4 linked regions of the Callithrix jacchus genome follow. The protein of the gene in region 2 purifies or fractionates together with the protein of the main gene of each other region. This does not show direct contact. Links are inferred from orthologs where the notes say so. Each region holds a gene or a part of one and is shown on either strand. Other genes may lie near its edges.

Region 1 (4,657 bases), on a different chromosome or scaffold from region 2:
CCATGCTGGAGTTCAGTGGTGCGATCCTGGCTCAACCTCCGCCTCCTGGGTTCAAGTGATTCTCCTGCCTCAGCCTCTCAAGTAACTGGGATTACAGGTGTGCACCACCATGCCCGGCTAATTTTTGTATGTCTAATGTCACTTCTTTCTGGGTAAGGATCTTTGCTATTTTGGGAATACAGGCAGATCTGAGCATTCAACCCCAGGTTCAAGTTGAACAGCTTCTCTTTAATCAAGGGGAGAACACAGGTGTATGAGAGAGTAGAAAAGAAATGTATCAAAAGAAAGAAAGGCTTTCCTTCTTGAAGGGCTGAAGTTGAGAGGGAAAACTCATTTATCACTACAAATCTATGGTAGCTTTCCATGCTAAATTTTGCCTGCCTCTTTTGTGATTTTTTTTTGAGATGGAAGAAGAGTAGGAGCTTTATCTTCTTAGTAACAATTAGGCCGTATTTCTTTTCACCAGGTAGAGGTGCTCAAACATTGTAGTGGTATTAAAAGGCTGAGGAGAGAAATTGAAGACTGGCTTACAGAACTCCACCTGGAGGACAAAATCCTGGCAGATGATTCTTCTCATCTCAGTGCTTTTAAAGTAGTTCAAAATCCTAAAATTCAATGCCAGAAATTCCACACCCATTTAGTAAGCACCTATATATACACTACTACACACAGATTAGCTATCTAAAATGGAAGAAAACTCTTGTGTGAAAGACGAAGTGGAAAGGAGGTGTACATTCCAAGACATCTACCTACAACTGAGAGAAATTAACTACTATTACCTCCTCCCACACCAAGATCTTTCCTCTCTTTGTGTAGCCTAAGCTTTCAGACGCACAACTGCAAACAACTCAAACTGGTTCACAGGATCTGTTCCTTGGTCACTTCAAACAAGATGTTATTTCTGACCCACACTTCCAACCCTACCCAGTGCTGAGTGGATGGGGCAACAATTACGACAGACACTGCTAAGTTTCCACAAATCATTGGTTTATTAGAAAGTTCCTTTCCCTCATTTTACAGCATATATCTCTATCATATGTGATAAAGTTAAATACAATCTGTTATGCTTGTAAGTAAGGATAGGTTATTTTGTTTGTTTTTTTAAGTTTTAAAATCACTATTCTGGAAGTTAAGGAAAATGCCCCTAGGAAGGCAAAGAGGCAGCCAGAGTATGGCTCAATCTACAAGCTAATGGGAAGCAGCACAAAATGTTAATACTGTATTATTTAAATATTTACATGGGCTGAAAGCAAAGAAAAATGAGTCCCTTCAATTACACAGATGATGTTGCTTTTCCAGTGCTAGTTATCCAAGAAGTGATGCTTCTGAATCAGACGAGGAGCACTGAATAGGTAGGAGGGTGGGAGGGCAGTCAAGAGTTGTGTTTGCCTGGCACTTTCTTCTCATAAACTCAAAACCTTTCTCTTTTGAGAATTTGAGAAGGCAGGAACACAGAGCCTTAGCCCAGGTAAGTGAAGTTTTTCTTACCAAGTGACCACCCAGCCAATTCTAGCTACACGAATAGTTAGGAAAATGCCACAGAGGGAATTGTTAAACTCATCAAAGGAGATGGAACCTGCAATACAAGCACCTTTGGGTCAGTGTGTTAATTAGGGCTGAGGGCCTGGATGAAAGGCAAGGAGAGGGGTGAAAGAGGCTTAGGTGGTAATTACGCTGGTCAGTGTCATGGGAGAAAAGAAACAAGGAACGTTTACTGCTTAAACTGAGCTGGGCAGAGGACGTGGAAACTATGAAGCAAAATAATTTGAAGTATCTATAAATGTGCTCACCTCCCAATAAAAGGAAGAAGACTGTTCCAACTCATCCTCCAGTCTACTTCTACTTCGGTTTCTAACAACCCAAAAGGCACATTAAAAAAAAAAAAACTGTCAGAGGAGGCTAAGTACTAGGAAGGCAAACAGACTGACTGCCTGGAACAAGTTACTCAGGGAAACCCAGGATCCCCCCAGAAAATCACGGCATGTCACTGCAGTGAGATTCAGTCAATAAAGCTGTTGAGTCCCCTCCTTCTCTTCTGTGGGGTCCACTGGCTTCTCTGTGTAAAACAACAAAAGTACCCAAGGGAGACTGTCAAAGATGAGCCTCCCTTGGAAGCCCCAAGCTGACCGCTGCCCATTAGCTCAAAAATCCCAATACTGGGGGCACTACTTACTACAAATTACTTAACATTTTGTCCCAACAAAAAATGTTTTAACATTTTATAGTTCTTAACTTCAAAAAATACAGGAGCTTGGTAAAATATACATGCTTAGTCACTTTTGCACCTAGCAGAAAACAAATACTTTTATTTTTTGTTTTCATTTTATAACCTTTAAAGTTTCTTAATTCAACTAAGGCAAACATATTTACACAAAGCCACCAGAACGAGGATCACTTAAAGAGCTGGATGTAAAAAATATTATTGCAGTATACTACAAATATGGAACCTTTCTTATATGAGCTACAAAAAGCAGCATTTACGTTTATAGAGTTCAGTGCAATTTTTTACATTAAAAAATCCTATAAATTAAAAAGGAAACATCAACACAACAAGAAAATATACCCTTCACTTCAGACACATGAACTCCTCTCTGGGAAAGCACATGGGCAACTGTATATTCCGCAGAGCTTCTATTCATGATAGGATCTCCTTTTCTGGGATATGGAGATGCCTCCTCTGGAGTGAGGGACATCAGGATAACAGTGCCAAATGTGTGGCTCCATTTATGTGGGGCTGGATCGAATTGCAGCCTGAGTTGCATCAGGTTCCAGGTCAGACTCCCTTTCCATCTCACCTGGGGTAACATAAGGTCACCAAGGATGGTCAAAGATACTACCCCAAAGTGGTGGCACTTTCACCACGAGAACAACTTGGCCTTCCTTGTGGCACTGAGAAGGCAAGATCAGACGGGCCCACAGCAAGTGCTTTGGTGACAACCCACTGCCCAGAGAGGAGGAAAATGTTTAAAAATTTACAGAAGGGAAGAGCAGAGGATAAAAAGCAAAAGGAGGAAGGAATTATCTAAACTTGACAGTTAGGAGATGTTGCTGCAGAGGGGTGGGTAGCACTTACTGGTGTTCCCTAGCTTGGAAACACAGGAGAGGGAGAGACAAATTGAGAGGATGACAGGAAAAAAGAAATCCCTGATAGTAAACTCAAAGCAAACTTCAAATCTAAACCCACCCCTGCAAGCCAAAACTCAATTCTTTGGCTGCCAGACACTGCCCATCCCAGCTTCTATTTGCTGGTATTAATGGCTCAACACCCCCAAGGGAACATTTATGGTTCTCCTTCCCTGGCCCTACATAGGATCCCATCCCCAACTCATGTGCCATGGCTGGGAGGATGCTGCAGGTCCTGACCTGAGAAGATGGGGTGAAGTAGTGGGTGAAGGTGGAGGGCGGTGGCAGCTGCTGCAGCAGGCCGTGGGGCAAGTAGGGTGGGGTAGAGGGCAGCATGTGGGACAGGGTGAAAGGTGAACGGCCCAGGATGGATGGCTGAGGCAGGAATGATGTGGATGGGATGGCTAGCGAGAAAGGTGGCAGGGTGGCCAGGGATGATTGAGTGAGTGAGGTGGGACAAGGAAATGGGAGTCAGATGGGGCTGGGGAATATGATGCACCTGGGCAAGTGGTTGGGGATGGGGGTGGGGGTGAATGCCAATGGCAGCAGCAGCTGCTGCAGCATGATGTTGTAGGATGGCATGCTGAACAGTTGTGATGGAGGTGGCAGAGGCTGTAGCTGGCTGCTGAATGTGGATGGGCTGCAGGGCTGGTGTGGCTGGGGCCAGCGCAGCTGAGGCTGGAAAGGCCTTTACTTGCTTGGCCAGAAGCTGCTGTTGGATGTGTTGCTGTGCAGCCTGTTGGAGCTTGCTGTACTTCTCCATCTCCTCAGGGGTGAAGGTGATGGGCTGGCTCTCCAGGGGGGCCAGTGAAGCATCCTCAGCCCCATCTGTTGACTCAATACTAGGATCTCCACTGGGAGGCACATAACTGGCAAAATGCTCAAGGTCTGGTGCTATAGGCAGCAAGCTGGATTCCAGAGGGCCTGGTTGACTGCTGCTATCCAGGGACTCCAGGGTGTCTCCGTCACTGGGCTCGGGGAGGTAGTTAAGGGAGATGGTTGGGTCCCCAGGGTAGCAGTCAGAGTGTGCTGGGGTGCCTAGCGGAGCCACAGGGTGATCAGCAGTAGCTTCTTCAGACTTTGGCTCTTCTGGAGGTGGCTCTGATAAGGGGCCAGTTGTTTCCTCTGAAGGGAACTGATGCCCAAAAAGGGGATCACTACTCCCTGGGGGCCCTTCTTCCATCTCTGACTGTTCTTGCTCTTCCCCCCTTTCCAAGCCAGACTCTTCACATTTTTTGTTGGGCTTTCGGGTAGCTGGGAGCTTCCCTATCAGTGGAAGGATAGGTTTATTGCCAAGAGATGGGGGGAGCTTGGGCCCAAAGTAACCTTGTGGGGGATCTTTGAGCTTGGGCCCAGCTTTATTAGGGGTGGTCTGCACCTCCTCACTCACGCTAGGTTTCCTCTCCACTTTCTTTGACTGGATCTTCTCCAGTAGCAGTTTGGCAGTGACAGAGTTCTTGTCTTCAGGACTGCAGTCGCTTTCTGACCCTCTTCCTGTGCCAATGTTGCTGTTTTGGGTAGGTGGACCTGTCCC
Region 2 (5,117 bases):
GTGGGACCTGCAGGGCCTGCCTGGGGGAATGGTGAGGCAAGAAGGGAAGGGGAAGGAGAGCAGGAGCCTCCTGAGTATCCCTAGAGCAGCATCCCACAAGGAACAGAAACTGGTGAAGCTAGCAGAAGACAGAAAAGCCACAAGGAATCCATGCAGGGGCTGGGGCCGGCCCTGCCTCTGGCCTGCCCACCACTCACACACATACACACAGGAGACGAGACTGCTCTCCCGTGACCCCTAGGTATGCCCCACTGGGATGCGGGGGCATGGGGGAGCGAGGGCATCATGCCAGTGACTCTATGTACAAGAAGCCCCTCATTCACTCTTCCACCCTTCTGCCCATCCCCCGCCCCCCCTCACCAGGCTGCCTACTCAGCTGGTCTCCTCCCTTTGAGACTCCTGGGCATAACCAGCAGCCTCTTCCCCTTTACTGGAGGGTGGAGCCTGGCCTGTGGCGCCCTCTGGGGCTGTGCTGTCCGGCTGGGCCATAGCCGGCTCAGGGGTGGCAGCTGCCTTGGTGGCCAGTGTGGCACTGCTTTGGGTGGTGGGCACAGTGCTCTCTTCTGTGGCTGGTGTGGCTCTCCCATCAATGGCTGGAGTAGTGCTCCTGTCAGTGGCTGGGGTGACACTCCCATCAGTGGCTGGGGTGATGCTTCCATCGGTGGCTGGGGTGACACTGCCATCAGTGGCACTTCCATCTGTGGCTGGGGTGGCACTACGGTCTGCGGGGGCCACATTATCACTCTTTGCAGCACGAGCAGCATCACCCTCAGGGGCTGAGGTAGCTCCACTCACAGCTGCAGCTGTGGCCCCACCTGTAGCCCCAGGGGTGGCAGTGTCTGCTGCTGAGGCTGACTGTGCTGCAGCCATGCTGGACTGCTCTGGCGCTCGGAGCCGTTTCATGAGGGTGGTCACTCGGACAGCCTTCTGAAAGGAGCACAGTGGAGAAAGGCTAAGGGTAAGGCTTGCTGGATCCATTGCATGGCAGTGACCAAACCAAACCCCTTCCATAGTACCCCTGGCTGTCTCCAACCACCCCAGGGCCAAATACCCAGCTGCTCAGCACTCCTACTTAAGATAATGACAGTGGCTACACCCACACCTGATGGCCTGAGTAAAGCTTGTGTGTGGCTGCAGGGGTGTGATGCAGGCAACAAGCTGAATGCCAGAAGGAATACTTGGGATAGAGCCAAGAAGAGAGCTATCCAAGCCTTACCTTCCACTTGGCCCTGGCAAAGTTCTTTTCAATCTGGGCACAGACACCATCCTTGATGTTCTTATCAGAAGCAGCATTGCCAGAAATCCTGGAAAGGGTGCAAGTGTGTCTGGATCTGAGGGGATGAGCCTTGTGGAGACTCTGCCCACCTCTTTCATGTGGCATCCAGGGACTACCAGGTAGAATCTCTGGGTGGGCCTGAGCTCTAGGTGCCTGTATCCCCTCAGGCCTCAAAAATGGGGCTGCTAGGTGTAAGGGGGACTCTGGCCTCTCCCACCCTCCCTTAGGCCCTGCTCACCACTCATGGGAGATGGCCTCTTCTGCAGTGATTCGCTGGTCTTGCTCCACCTCCATCAGCCTTGTGACCAGGTCTTTGGCTGTGAACAAAACCAAAGAGGGGCTAGGCATGGGCACTCCATCTCAATGTCTAGAGGTGATGAATGGGCTGGGGGACAGAAGCAGAATCCCACAGAGGAAACCGAGAGCAGGAACCCTACCCACTGCTGTGCACTCTTACCAAGTGCTGGGCAGTCACCTCCTCACCTGCCTGCGAAATATCATCCCAATATGGAGAGTCAAACTCATAGTCACCAGCCAGGATCTTGCGGAAGAGATTCTTATCATGGTTCTCATAGTCATCTTCTTCCACCTCTTCATAAAAAGGTGGGTTGCCTGAAAGCCTGCATGGGGGAAGGGTCACACAGAAAGGCCACAGACACACACTCCCACCCCATCTGACTGCAAGTCTGCTTGTCCATGTGTCCACTCACAGGATGTACATGATGACTCCAATGGCCCAGCAGTCCACAGGGCGTCCATACCGCTGCCGGCCTACCACCTCCGGGGCTACAAACACAGCACCCATCTGCTGGTCAGTATCAGGCCTAGCCAGGTCCAGTACCATCCACAACCACTTCTTGAGATAAGCACATTTTCCCCCTGCTCAGAGCAGCTCCCTGAAGCCTGCCCCCCATTCTCCTCCTGCCCCTGCCCCTGCCCCACCCCCTGCTTGCCCAGATACTCGGGGGTCCCACAGGGCTCCTTGATGAGGCCATTTTCTAGCTTAGCCAGATGGAAGTCACTGATGACAATCTTCGAGTTTTTCAGCCGGTTATAGTAAACAAGGTTCTCCAGCTGTGGTGTGAGAATAACATGTGAGCACCAGAGCAGAAGACACCATGAGGGCCTCGGAGGCTAGACCAAGGCCCCAAGGTGCTGCCCACCCCACCCCAGCCCAGCTGCCAACTGGCCCTTTGACTATGGCTCTGGCCTCACCTTGAGGTTCCTGTGCACGATCTTGAGTGAGTGCAAGTAGGCCACGGCCTCCAGGACCTGCCGTACCACGTTGCTCGTGTCTCGCTCAGAGTAGTAGCCCTGGTCCAGGATCCAGTCAAACACCTCCCTCCCCGTGGCCCTGAGGGACACCAGCCCCTGAGCCTGGCGTGGGCGGAATTGGGGGTGGGGCAGGAGCACTTGGGTGAGCTGTCTATGCCAGGCAGCTGGCTGAGCAAGGCACAGGGACCTGGGACCCCAAGGGTCCAGAAAAGGGGGTCTCCTTAGCTGCAGGGGGTGGGACAGGTAAAGGCCCTGGGCACTGAGGAATCCTGGTACCCCAGACCCACACTCACAGCTCCAGGAAGATGAAATACTCCTTGCGGGTCACAAACACATCCACCAGTTGCAGGATGTTGGGATGCTTCACCCTGGCGACAGGGAGGGGAGCCAGTAGTTAGAGCTGGATGAACCCCTGGGAGAGACTCTTGTCACCACAGTGGCCACTGCAGACTAACTGGCCAGAAGCTGGGACTACCTGAGGCCACTTGCCCTCTAAGCCCTTCCCTCTTGCTTCCCACACCACCCCAACCCCAGGCCTCAAACTCACATCTTGAGGATGCCTATCTCGTTCTTGGCAGCTTTCCGCACCTTGCGGCCGTCCCGCTTCTGGAACTTCTTACAGGTGTGCAGCTTGCCTGTTGTCTTGTCCTTGGCCCGGAAGATTTCACAGAACTCCTCACTGCAGCCGACAGGCACCCACTCAGCCCTGGCCTTAGCGTCAGCTGCACTCCACTCCCACTTCCCTAGCCCTTGCCCACCAGCCCACCCAGCCCTGCCTGACAGGCCCAGCCCAGCACTCACGTCTTGATGACCTGTCCCAAATCATATCTGTCAGTCACTTCTGACGGCTGGTTATAGTTCTTCTTGTCGCCCAGAGTCACACACCCAAACGGCATTGCCGGGCTCTAACCTGCAGGCACAAGGGGATCTGGCTTAACTATACTACTCTCCACCTCCCCACAACATAGGGGCTGCCTTTGGGAGACCCCAACCTGGCTAAGGCCAAACCAGGAGCAGAGACCATACCCGGAAGGGCTAGAAAACAGGCAAACTCAGATCCTACCCCTGCTTTTCTGGCCATACATTCAGCTACTCAGCTTGGCTGCCTGAACTACAATAGCCCACATAGGAAAAATAAACTGATATGTAAGGGAATAGTTTTGCATTCTATACATTTTAAAAAAAGACTTATCAAACAGCTTATTTAAATTTCAGCTATTTCACAGATTAAGGGAGCTATAATCACCCACCCACCTGCTAGTCATCTCTGAAGGTCTAGAGCTAACAAGTGTTAATGAAGGTATGAAGAACGTGAGCACTGCTAGGAGAGGGCAACCTCCCCTTTGTAAAGCAGTTTGGTAAAACCACTAAAGTCAAACAAACATACCCTGTAAAGCAGTAATTACACTCCTAATACGTGCCTACAGAAGTACACACATTCGTGCATCAGGACAGTCATACAAGAATGCTCATAGTGGCCATATACATAATCGCCAAAAATTGAAAACAGACCAGATACCACCACCGACAGGATATATTGTGGTAGAGTCACACAATGGAATAGTATACAGCAATGGAAAGAAAAAGCTTCAGCTATACCCAACCACATGGTGACTCTTACACAGTGTTAAGTGCAAAAAAAACACAAAAGAATACATATAGTATGAGTCTATTGATAGAGAGTTCAAATAGGCAGAACAAACCCATACTGGGGACACAAACACAGCAGTAGAGCTATAAAGAAAAGCTAGGAAATAAGCAGAGTCAGATAATAGTCCCTTATAAGAGAAAAGGAGGGGTTATGATTGAATTAGGACACATGGGGGGATTCTGGAAGACCTATTTCTTTTCTTTCTTGCTTGCTTGCTTTTTTTAGAGACAGTTATTGCTGTGTTGCCCAGGCTGGAGTGCAGTGGCTATTCGTGGGCACAAGCACACTACTGATCAGCACAGGAGTTTTGACCTGCTTTGTTTCTGACCTGGGTAGTTTCACCCCTGCTTAGGCAACCCGATGATCTCCAGGTCCCGGGAAGTCACCATACTAATGCCAAACTGGGTGTAGACACCCAACTGGCATAGTGCGCTACAGCCCAGAACTTCTGAATTCAAACGATCTTCCCACCGCAGCTGGGATTATAAGCACCCACACTATGCCCAGCTGTTCTGTCACCCAGGCTGGAATGCAGTGGCACGATCACAGCTCACTGCAGCCTCAACCTCCTGGGCTCAAGGGATCCTTCCACCTCAGCATCCTGAGTAGCTAGGACCGAACCACAGGTGCACACCATCACACCTGGCTAATTTTTCAAATTTTTTTATAGATACACGATTTTATTATGTTTCCCAGGCTGTTCTCGAACTCCTGGGCTCAAGTGATCCTCCTGCCTCAGCTTCCCAAAGGGCTGGGATTACAGGCATGACCCACCATGCCTGGCTTGGGTAGAATTTTTAAAGTTTACATATTGATGCACATTCACAAACTCTTTTCTGAAAGAATATTGAAGGAAATAAGAGTTTTCTCTTCTGGGCAAAAAAATTGTGTGTCAAAAAGGCAGACATCTTTTGT
Region 3 (5,117 bases), on a different chromosome or scaffold from region 2:
CTATCTCGACTCCTACTTCGACTGGAACGATTGGTTCGTCTATCCCTTGAGCGACTTCTACTCCTACGTCTCTCTCGGGAAGGACTCCGATTTCGTCGTCTTTCTCTTTCAATGCTATTTCTATTAGATCTCCTCCTATCTCTTATCTTTACCCTAGCTCTATTGCTCTCTATTTTAATTCTGCGAGAGTAGCTTCTACTCCTGCTACGTCTAGCTTTGATTGTTGGAGATCTACTCCTACTGTGTCTCTTTTTCCTTTTAGGAGAAGAAGACCGAGAAGAAGTGCGACTACTACCTGAGCTAGAACTGTATGAAGAGCTAGAGACAGTACTACTAGTACTACTAGTTCTGCTATTGCTACTGGAACTACCACTACTAGAACTTCCTGACCTACTCCTTCCTTGTTTTTCTTTTTCTTTATGCTCTTTTTTTGGTTCTAAAACTGATGTGGTTTCATTTGGAGTTCTCTTCTTTTCATTAACCACATCACCGTCTGCTTCTCTTGCTTCTAGTAGTGATAAACTATTTTGCTCTTTATGGATAAATTCATTCATCTCTTTTGTAACCCTTTCTGTTTGTTGCTTTTCTTCTGAAACAGAAAAAGACAAAAATACTAAGAAAATTTGAATGTAAAATTTTCATACTACCAAATTTCAAGCTACCAGACTATAACAATAGAACACTACTGTTCAACAAAATTACAATGCAAGAGATGTAAGTAACTCAAGACTTTTTACTAACCACATTAAAAAAGTAAAAAGAAACAGGTAAATAACACAATACACCAAAAATATTATCACTTCAATACATAATGAATTTTTTTAAAAAGTGAGATGTTCTCATTTCTAAGTAAAGTTTTGAAAGTTAGCATGTAATATATACCTACAGCACATGCCTAGCCACATTTCAAGTCCTCTATAGCTACATGTAGTTAGTCAAGTTACCCACCCTGGGCAGTGTAGCAAAATACAGTATCAAGATATAGAGGTGCATGTGAGGAAAGTAAGAAAACACTTCCCTTTTGTCCAATTAAAGCAAAATTGTAAAGGTAAATACGTGGTTTATAGAAAAGTCACTCAATAATTACCTTTCAAATTGTCCAATTAAGATTTTTCAAAGAAGAAATTCTAAGTAAATTTTCTCTTTTGTTATTCCTAGTATTATTATGTAAAGTATCTTAAGTAAAAACTTCTCTATTATCCTTCCATATCCTAGCTACAAATTACTTTTCAATAGTCTTACAAATATATTTTTACCATTTCAAAAGTCATCTTTTTTTATTTCAAAAATTTTAACAAGAAACAAAAATACCCTAAATAGCTTGGCTTATAGCCACTGCAATGAATGGCTCCTAAAACAACCAAACAAAAATTTTGACTTTAGTTTCAGTTATATCACATATTACCTAAAATCTAGCCTTTATTTTATCCTTTTACATTTTTAGGTTGGTTTAAAAAATAAAAAGAAATACAAAACTGGACCAAAATTAAGTCTAAATGGTATACTACACCTTCCATCTGTTTATCATGTAACAGCTGCTGTTCCTTTTCTTTTCTCCAAAAAGCTTCCTGTTTTTGCCGGATTCGATGCCGTAATTCCTCATCATCAGTGTCAGATGACTCAGAGCCTCTGTCACTCCTTTCATCTTCGCTGTCTCCTGATCCATAACCACCCAGTCCACCTGTGTGCATAAAGCTCAGTCTATCACATGAAAAAAATTATACTATGCACTAAAAACTTTTCAAGGTCTGAGAAGAAAGCTCATTTCTTTTTCATTGCCTTTTCCCGGAAGAATATCCTTATTCGGGGTGGGGAGAAGTATATATTCAGAAGCTTAAGGAGTTCACAGAACTTTCAGGCAAAGGTTACTTATTATCTTATTCTTTCTGGAATATTTCATATTTTTCTCACTGTAAAGGAATCATAATGGGTTTGTTGTACTGTCCATGCTAACCAACGAAACTTCTTAACAGGGCAGTAACAAAGCCACACTAAAGCTTAATCAATTCAATTACCTTAATGAAATTTATGATGATCCTGAAAATATTTCTAAAATTAACTTACATTGTTCAAAGTTTAGAAATCTCTAGCAGTTTTTTCCCTAAAAAAACTAGAATACTGTAATCTCCCCGTTACAGAAATATCATGGTGCTGAAACTACTCCCCACCCTGAAATGATCTAAAAAAACATAATAAAAGCACATGAGCATTTGGTTCTACCCACTTCTCTGGGTTCTCACAAAGATTAATTTGAAATGAAGAATTTGTGGAAAAGGCAAATTCAAGCTTTACAGCCTTGATAATATTCCATGCAAATAGTAAATTATGAACACATTACTACTATTATACTATGATAAGATAAACCCTTTCCTCTATATTTAAACTTGACTTGCTGCAACACAATCTATATAAAAGTTATTGAAAGCATTAGTGGATAGGTTCTTCCCTAAGGCATGTATGCAATAATTCTGAAAGTGAGCTTAGATACTATCATGGCTAAATTATGAATTAGTAAGTACAAACTATAGGTGTTCATATATAATTATATATAATGCAATATTGGAGCAATAAGGAAAGCCTCCAATATAACTTGCCCCAATAAACTATGAATTAACAATCACATTTATAAACTTCTCACTGTGAATGCGTTAGTCAAAAAAATAGTCAAACCTTTTTAGACACTGACATAACCCTAAGACCTAGGTTTTTATAAACTGAGTAGGACTAATACAGTTTCAAAACAGAACATGTAGAGAGACAATGTATGTGTGATTTTTTTCCCTTTAGGCCCTCTCACAAATATGAAAAACACTTACCGAGTCCAGTGAGGGAAGCCAGTGCACTGGACTGTGCCAGCTGTTTTGCAGGAGCTTTGTATCACATCAACAACAGGAACAACATGTTAACACAAATAGCCACGATTTCATAGTCATGAGAGTCTACGGTATTGTTAAATCTACTACTATTGCTGCTTTTTGGGGAGAGAAGAAACATTAAAAACATAACATTCATTTTAAACCAGTATCATGTCTGGCTTTGAAATTATAACTCTGATGTGAGCTGAAATTGGTTTATAATGAGAAAAAATGTTGCCAAGTATATCTGTATGTCTATTTCTGAGATTATGAAATATAATTTTTTTCAATACATTTTTAAGTGTTACTAAAAATACAGGGGTAGGGAATCATTTGCTTCTGTAAGAGATAACTGGTAAACTAAAAACTGTAGGTTGATAATTCAAAATTCATTAGTCAAAATAAACTGTATTAAAAGTCATACACCAATGCCATGGTATCTATAAAAAAAAATATCAGGTGAAATAAACTGAACATCAGGAATTTTCCATAATACATTTTAGAGGACAACAGCATGATTGCTAATTTGTACTCAGGAAGGTCAGATAAACAAAAATAGTTGTGTATAGCTTTAATATGGTGTCTACAAATCTAATCTTTAAGAGTCAAAACATGCAAGAGAATATTCGAATATCTGGTAGAAATCCAACAAGGACAACAAAAAAAGTCCAAAATAGTCATCAGAACCAAAATATCCCAGGAAAAGCAAAACCCAAAACACCAAAATATACCTTTCGTTGCTTTGCGGTGTGCGTCTTTGGCTACGTAATAAATTTCTTCATCTGTGACATCGAGTAGAATTTCTGTCAGAAGCATTTTTGTCAGCAACATCTAAAAAAAGAGTATTTTATACAGTATTTCTAATTACTATAGTTACTAGTAGTATGACATTTTCGAAAATATTAAAACAAAAAGCCTTTTATTTCCCCAGACAGAGTCTCACTCTGTTGCCCAGGCTGGATCGTAGTGGTATATTGGCTCACTACAACCCCACCTCCAGGGTTCAAGTGACTCTCTTGCCTCAGTCTCCCAAGTGGCTGAGACTATCGGCATGTAACACCATATCCAGGTAATTTTTGTATTTTTAGTAGAAACAGGGTTTCACCATGTTGGCCAGGCTGGTCTTCCACTCCTGATCTCAAGTGATCTGCCTGCCTTGACCTCCCAAAGTGCTGGGATTGTGGTGTGAGCCACGGTGCCCAATAGCAAAGCCATTTTATAAAATATTTTTAGACATCAGAGCAGCCATTCCAAGGAATAAACATCTTGAACATTTTTCTGTTATATCAAAACTTCAAAAAAATTCCAAAATCATATGGATCAAAGAAAAAAATATTATAAATATATCTTTATAGCATAGACACTGAATTCAAAACACTTTTTTCTTTCTTTTTTTCTGAGACAGGGTCTCACTCTGTCACCCAGGCTGAAAGGCATTGGCACCACCTAGGCTCACTGTTAACTTCTGCTTTCCCAGGCTCAAACAATCCTCCCACCATAGCCTCCTGAGTTGCTGGGACTATAGGTGCACCTCACTATGCCTGGCTAATTTTCTATAGAGACAATTTCTCACTGTATTGCCCAGGCTGGTCTCAAACTCCTGGACTTAAGCAATTCTCCTGTCTCGGCTCCCTGAAACTAAGATTACCCCAGCCTGAAATCAAAACATTTTAAAAAGGTCCCTATTAATAGAAGTTTCTACAAACATTTTTAGTTGAAAGGAGTATCTCTTCATTTAATATTGGTAGGCAGCTCTAGTTTCTATTTTTTCCTTTAAAATTGTTTCAAAAACAAGATGCAAACAATATAAATATGTCTACATAGTAAGAAATTTAACATTCTACCATTTGATACTCTTTCTCCTCTTCAGTCATCTCAGGCTCACTGTGTTCTTCTTGAGGAACTGGGGATGGACTTCTGGTGACTTTCCCACTACTTGCAGCCTCAACATTTTCAGTGTCTTCTTCTTCCTCATCACTATCCTATAAAAAAAAATAGTATATTAGTCCAAATCCATGTTTATAATGTAAAATCCTTATCTTACATATCAAAAATCTTAAACCCCAAATTAAAGTCTATGAAACAGAAATATGAGAGAAATTGCTATTTAAATTACATTTACTACAGATTTCCTTTGATAATTTAAAAAGTATAACCTGGGAAAAATATAAGATTATAAGATGGCTTAGGAAAATCAATTTTTTTTTTCAATTTTCTTTTTTCCTTAGTCAATTTTAACCTTATTTTATAACTACCCAGGAA
Region 4 (5,015 bases), on a different chromosome or scaffold from region 2:
TATGAGGTAAACCTGTACCTGAGGTACAGAAATGGACAGGTTTTCAAATGCCGTGATGATCAGAACAGCTTGATGTCTAATAATAACATGTAATTGTTCCCATTCTTGTGGAAAAGGGTTTTGTGTTTTTCCTTTAGTGCTTTTAGATACAATCTCATAAACTCTTATAGTATTCTACCAAATCATTAAAAGGTTGTGCTAACCTGTGAAGGTAACTTAAAGTTCCAAAAACATTTCAAAAGATAATGAAGAAAGTACTCACAAGATAAAGTTAATACATACCAAGGCAGAGCCTCTCAACTTGTGTACTAGGAATGCTGCAGAGTCCCCTCAGCTCATGGGGAAAAAAAGTGGGGCCTCAGTGCAACCAGAGTAAATGGGTTTCTGCTAAGTGGTATCTAGTCTATTCCAATGTGCCATACAAAAGTGTGTTAAGGAATGAAAGACTGGGAACCATCTATTCAGTGGGAAATGCTAATCAGAAAACCAGGAGATGCAGGTCCAATTCTTCATCAACTCACTAGCTGAGTGTTCTTAGTTAAATTAACCTCTTTGGGACACTTGGGCTCCTCATTTATTAAATGAAAACTAGAGTATTTCAATGGCCTCTTCCAGTTCTAAAACCCGTAATTTCCCTTACATTGACACTTCATAATATAAAACAGTAGTCATTACTCATTTAATTAAAAACTCTAAATTAAGATATTCAATAAATACTTGTTATTTATTGAACCTAGTGAGTATCTGGGAAACAAATATGGAAGATGAAATCCCTAAATAGATCTTATTGTGAATAATCTTTGTATCACTTTTAGGAGGTTAAATAGTAAAGCCTTCAGAACAGGTGCCTAAATAAAGGAAATTGCACAGATAACAGAAGCCTGCCTATGCATAATAAATATTTACTTTAGCTATAATCAGAGCTTCTACCAATATCTAAGAATTTCCTCCTCTACACCCTTCAACTGCTTTAAAAAGAAAAATTATAGTCATTTAAATTTATTTGCAAATTACATTTATAATTAAAATTGATTTCTAAGGTAAACATTTATAAAAATAAAGACTCTCAAAAGGACTTCATCTTATTTTCAGATTATAGCAAGAAAATCAATGTGCTCCATATATTTTACCCATGATGAAACTTATTCCATACCCATTATTTTATATATATAGTTTAACTGGGTGGGTTTGGGTGGGAGAAGGCATGAATTCAAAATTTTACTTAAATATCACATAATTTAATGTTCTCCCAAGAATCTGAGCTGAAATTTTCATATGAATACAGTTTCACAAAGGCTACAAATATATATCAACTTAAACAGAAGGAATTATTTAGTATTTAACAGTGTTTTTAAAAATCTAGCTCTATAATCACTTTTTCTTAAAAAAAAAAAAATCCTTACTACATAATATGACAAGTCCACATTTCTCTAGAAATGCATAGTCACCTAATAGTAAGGTCCAAAATGAGAATTACTATCTCCAGAAGAGGGTGGAGGAGGCAGCGGTGGAGGGGGAGGAGGTGGGGGTAGGGAGTATGGTAAGTTAAGTAATGGATGAGCTGCCATGTTTGGTGTAGCCCAACGCATGTTTACAGGTGGGGGTGGTGGAGGTGGTGGGCAGAGTGAAAAATTATGCATATCAAACATTGGAGGGGGAAAGGGGTATTGTGGCATAATGGGATTATCTTGTCTCTGGGAAGGAAATCCTGAAGTCTCCTGAGATACCATATGTTCTGAGTTATAGAACTGCTGAGGTAGAGGCCTGCCATGGCAAAATCGAGGGTATCTGCTCCTGGAAAATCCTCGTGTGAATTCTCTGTTGCGATATCCTTTTGAATGTTCTGAAGCAGAGCTATGAGCATTCCAATTCTGATGTACTTCAGCAAAATCTTCACCTTTGAGTGAGGGGAGGGAAAACATAAAAATGAAAATAAGTTTAATATATCAAAAAGCACTGTTTGAAAGTTTAATTATGCTTTTTCTTTATTATCTAGTATATCTTATGGCAGTTAAAAGAGTATGTCTTAAAATAATCAATTTTAAAGGAACTGAAAAGACAAAACTTAATGCCAAAGAAAGAGAACCTAGCAAGACAGAAAACACTTAGACAATAACTATTCTACTCCAGCCAAACACCAGAGAAGAAAACGTGGCACCATCTCTACACACTCTCAAAGGCTGAGTACAGATCTTAGACTTCTGTCCTTGACAGGCAGTAATGAGCGATCCAACCCTTCTACCACAGTAGCATCAGGAACAAGCTGAACACGGTATGGGTAATAAGGCCTCCCCGCAATGGCAGTAAACATCACATGGGGAACCTGAACTTCCACCTCTACTGGCAGCAACACAGTGTTCTTCCATCTTTTACACTGGGGTAATGTCAGAGAAGACTGAGTAAGAGTTAGGATTTTTGTCCCCACACAGTTGATAACAAGGCCATCCTCCACTGGTGTTACTGCATGCCATATGGGGAGTAGTGACAAAGTACTCCTGTCCCTCCAGGAATAAGAAAAGACCCTATGGGATGTCAGAACTTCTACCCTCATCTAGCAGTAACAAGGCTCTCCTTGGCCAAAGGTGTCAAAAGAGGCTAATAGGAATTCCTAGACTTCAATCTACCCTATTCTTTCACTGCCAGAGTAGTATTTTAAAAAACAAAACAAAGAAGATAAAACAACAAACCCAGCTAAAACAGAAGATTTACATAAGATCCATGGTCTTGTAATATATTACTCAAAACACCCAAGTTTCAGTTAAAAAAAAGGGGCTCATTACAAAAAGAGCCAGGAAGATTTCATTCAATTAAAAAAAAAAATCAACCAAGGGCATCACAAAGATCTTAGAATTATGAAAGATAGTAAAGCAGTCATAAAAATGTTTCAACAAGATATTATGAACATTCTAAATTAAAATTACAAAGTTTTAGCAAAAAAAAACGAAGATAAAAGAACAAATTGAAATTTCAGAAATGAGCATTACAACAACCAAAAACAAACAAACAAAGAAAAAAAAAACAATAGAATATTGAAGGAGAAGAATAAAGCTGGAGGACTGAAACTATCCAACTTCAAGACTTATTATAATGCTTCAGATATCACAGCAGTGAGGTACTGGTGAAAGAGACAAATAAATCAATAGGACAAAATAGAAAGTACAAAAACAAACCCATAAAACATAATCAACTGATATTTAACAAAAGAGCAAAAGCAATACAACAGAGCAGAAGTAGTCTTTTCAACAAATAGGGCTGGAACACCAGGACATCCATATGCAAAAAATAAATCTAGACAATAGCCTTACACCATTCATAAGAATTAATTCAAAATGAATCACAGACCTCAATGTAAAGTGCAGAATTACAAAATTCCTAAAAGATAACAGAGAAGAAAATACAGATGACCCTGAGTTGATACTGACTTTCTAGATAGGACACCAAAGGCATGATAAATGAAAGAAAGAATCGATTCGCTGAATTTCATTAAACTTAAAAATTTCTGATAAACAAAAGATACTGTCAGTCAGAAAAATGAAAGACTAAAGCTCAAGAGTTCAAGGTTACAGTGAGCTATGATTGTACCGCTGCATTCTAGCCTGGGCAACAGAGCATGAACCTCAAAAAACAGGCAAACAAAAAAAAAAACCTCAGCAAGATATTTGTTGATGTACAGAACATTCTAAAATTTATACTGAAAGGTAAAAGACCTAGAATATCACTAATAATTTTTAAAAACAGAAATAAAGTAGGAGTTATCACTCTAAGCAATTTCAAGACTAACTTCGCTTTCTACACAAATTTACCTCAAAATGAATCGCAAGTGTAAAATGTAAAACAGAAGACTACAAAACTTTTAGGAAAAAAAATAGAAGAAAATCATTAGGATCTAAAGCTAAGCAGGAAGTTCTTAGATTCCATAAACAAAACTGATAAATTAATTTTCCTCCAAACTAAAACCTTTAGTCTTGCAAGAGGACCTCTTAAAAGGGGGAAAAGATTATAGACTAGAACAAATTATGAACAAATCATGTATCTGACAGAAAGCTAGTATATCTAAAGTATACATTTTTAAATTCTCAAAACTCGACAGTAAAAATCCAGAAATAGTATTTAAAAATGGGCAAAATAGGGCCGGGCGCGGTGGCTCAAGCCTGTAATCCCAGCACGTTGGGAGGCCAAGGCGGGTGGATCACGAGGTCAAGAGATCGAGACCATCCTGGTCAACATGGTGAAACCCTGTCTCTACTAAAAATACAAAAAATTAGCTGGGCATGGTGGTGCGTGCCTGTAATCCCAGCTACTCAGGAGGCTGAGGCAGGAGAATTGCCTGAACCCAGGACACGGAGGTTGCAGTGAGCCAAGATCGCGCCATTGCATTCCAGCCTGGGTAAACAAGAGCAAAACTCCATCTCAAAAAAAAAAAGGGCAAAATATATGGATTGACACATCACTCAAGATACAGATAGTAAATGAGCACATGTAAAGATGTTCAACATCATTAGCCATTAGGAAAATGCAAATTGAAACCACAATTATATTAGCACTACATATCTAGCAGAATGGCTAAAATTAAAAATAGTGATAACACCAAATGCTAGAGAAAATGCAACGAAATTGTCACTCATATACTGCTGATGGAAATGTAAAATGTTGCAGCCACGCTGAAAAACAGTACGGCAATTTCTTAGGAAACTAAACATGTAATGCAATTATTATACAACCAAGCAAATGTACTCTTGGGCATTTATTCCAGAGACATAAAAATCTGTTTTCACAAAAAACTTGTAACAAATATTTATAGCTGCTTTTTTCCTAATCACCCCAAAATGGAAACAACCTTGATGTGTTTCAATGGATGAATGGTCAGGTAATCTGGTAAATTCATACCTGAATGTTACGCTGTAATGAAGAGGAACAAACTATTATTGATAGTTTCAAATTATTATTAATAGGTTCATCAAGTACTAGATCATAAAATTTCTAAAAATGGAAGCAAGTGGGTATCTTAAGAAAAA

Evidence for each region. Proteins that work in one complex are often made in the same cells at the same time.
Region 1: the proteins of CAMKV (region 2) and GPATCH8 purify together in Homo sapiens (affinity purification with mass spectrometry; 3 studies listed by BioGRID and IntAct, counting the BioPlex papers as one, with this or other methods). This does not show direct contact. The link is inferred for Callithrix jacchus from reciprocal best matches to the Homo sapiens genes CAMKV and GPATCH8.
Region 3: the proteins of CAMKV (region 2) and PNISR purify together in Homo sapiens (affinity purification with mass spectrometry; 3 studies listed by BioGRID and IntAct, counting the BioPlex papers as one, with this or other methods). This does not show direct contact. The link is inferred for Callithrix jacchus from reciprocal best matches to the Homo sapiens genes CAMKV and PNISR.
Region 4: the proteins of CAMKV (region 2) and NAF1 purify together in Homo sapiens (affinity purification with mass spectrometry; 3 studies listed by BioGRID and IntAct, with this or other methods). This does not show direct contact. The link is inferred for Callithrix jacchus from reciprocal best matches to the Homo sapiens genes CAMKV and NAF1.

Annotation. Positions count from the first base shown.
Region 1 is NC_133506.1:71,235,821-71,240,477, forward strand, and holds the end of GPATCH8 (G patch domain-containing protein 8), read right to left. Parts: coding exon 3,326-4,657; 3' UTR 971-3,325; downstream 1-970.
Region 2 is NC_133516.1:32,472,027-32,477,143, forward strand, and holds part of CAMKV (caM kinase-like vesicle-associated protein), read right to left. Parts: intron 3,462-5,117; 5' UTR 3,448-3,461; coding exon 3,353-3,447; intron 3,231-3,352; coding exon 3,099-3,230; intron 2,920-3,098; coding exon 2,845-2,919; intron 2,631-2,844; coding exon 2,492-2,630; intron 2,351-2,491; coding exon 2,230-2,350; intron 2,063-2,229; coding exon 1,987-2,062; intron 1,897-1,986; coding exon 1,760-1,896; intron 1,594-1,759; coding exon 1,515-1,593; intron 1,305-1,514; coding exon 1,217-1,304; intron 928-1,216; coding exon 373-927; 3' UTR 1-372. UniProt on the Homo sapiens protein: Does not appear to have detectable kinase activity.
Region 3 is NC_133505.1:105,435,914-105,441,030, forward strand, and holds part of PNISR (arginine/serine-rich protein PNISR), read right to left. Parts: intron 4,838-5,117; coding exon 4,700-4,837; intron 3,687-4,699; coding exon 3,587-3,686; intron 2,871-3,586; coding exon 2,817-2,870; intron 1,682-2,816; coding exon 1,511-1,681; intron 590-1,510; coding exon 1-589.
Region 4 is NC_133504.1:32,764,905-32,769,919, reverse strand, and holds part of NAF1 (H/ACA ribonucleoprotein complex non-core subunit NAF1), read right to left. Parts: intron 1,898-5,015; coding exon 1,449-1,897; 3' UTR 19-1,448; coding exon of another isoform or gene 1-18. UniProt on the Homo sapiens protein: RNA-binding protein required for the maturation of box H/ACA snoRNPs complex and ribosome biogenesis.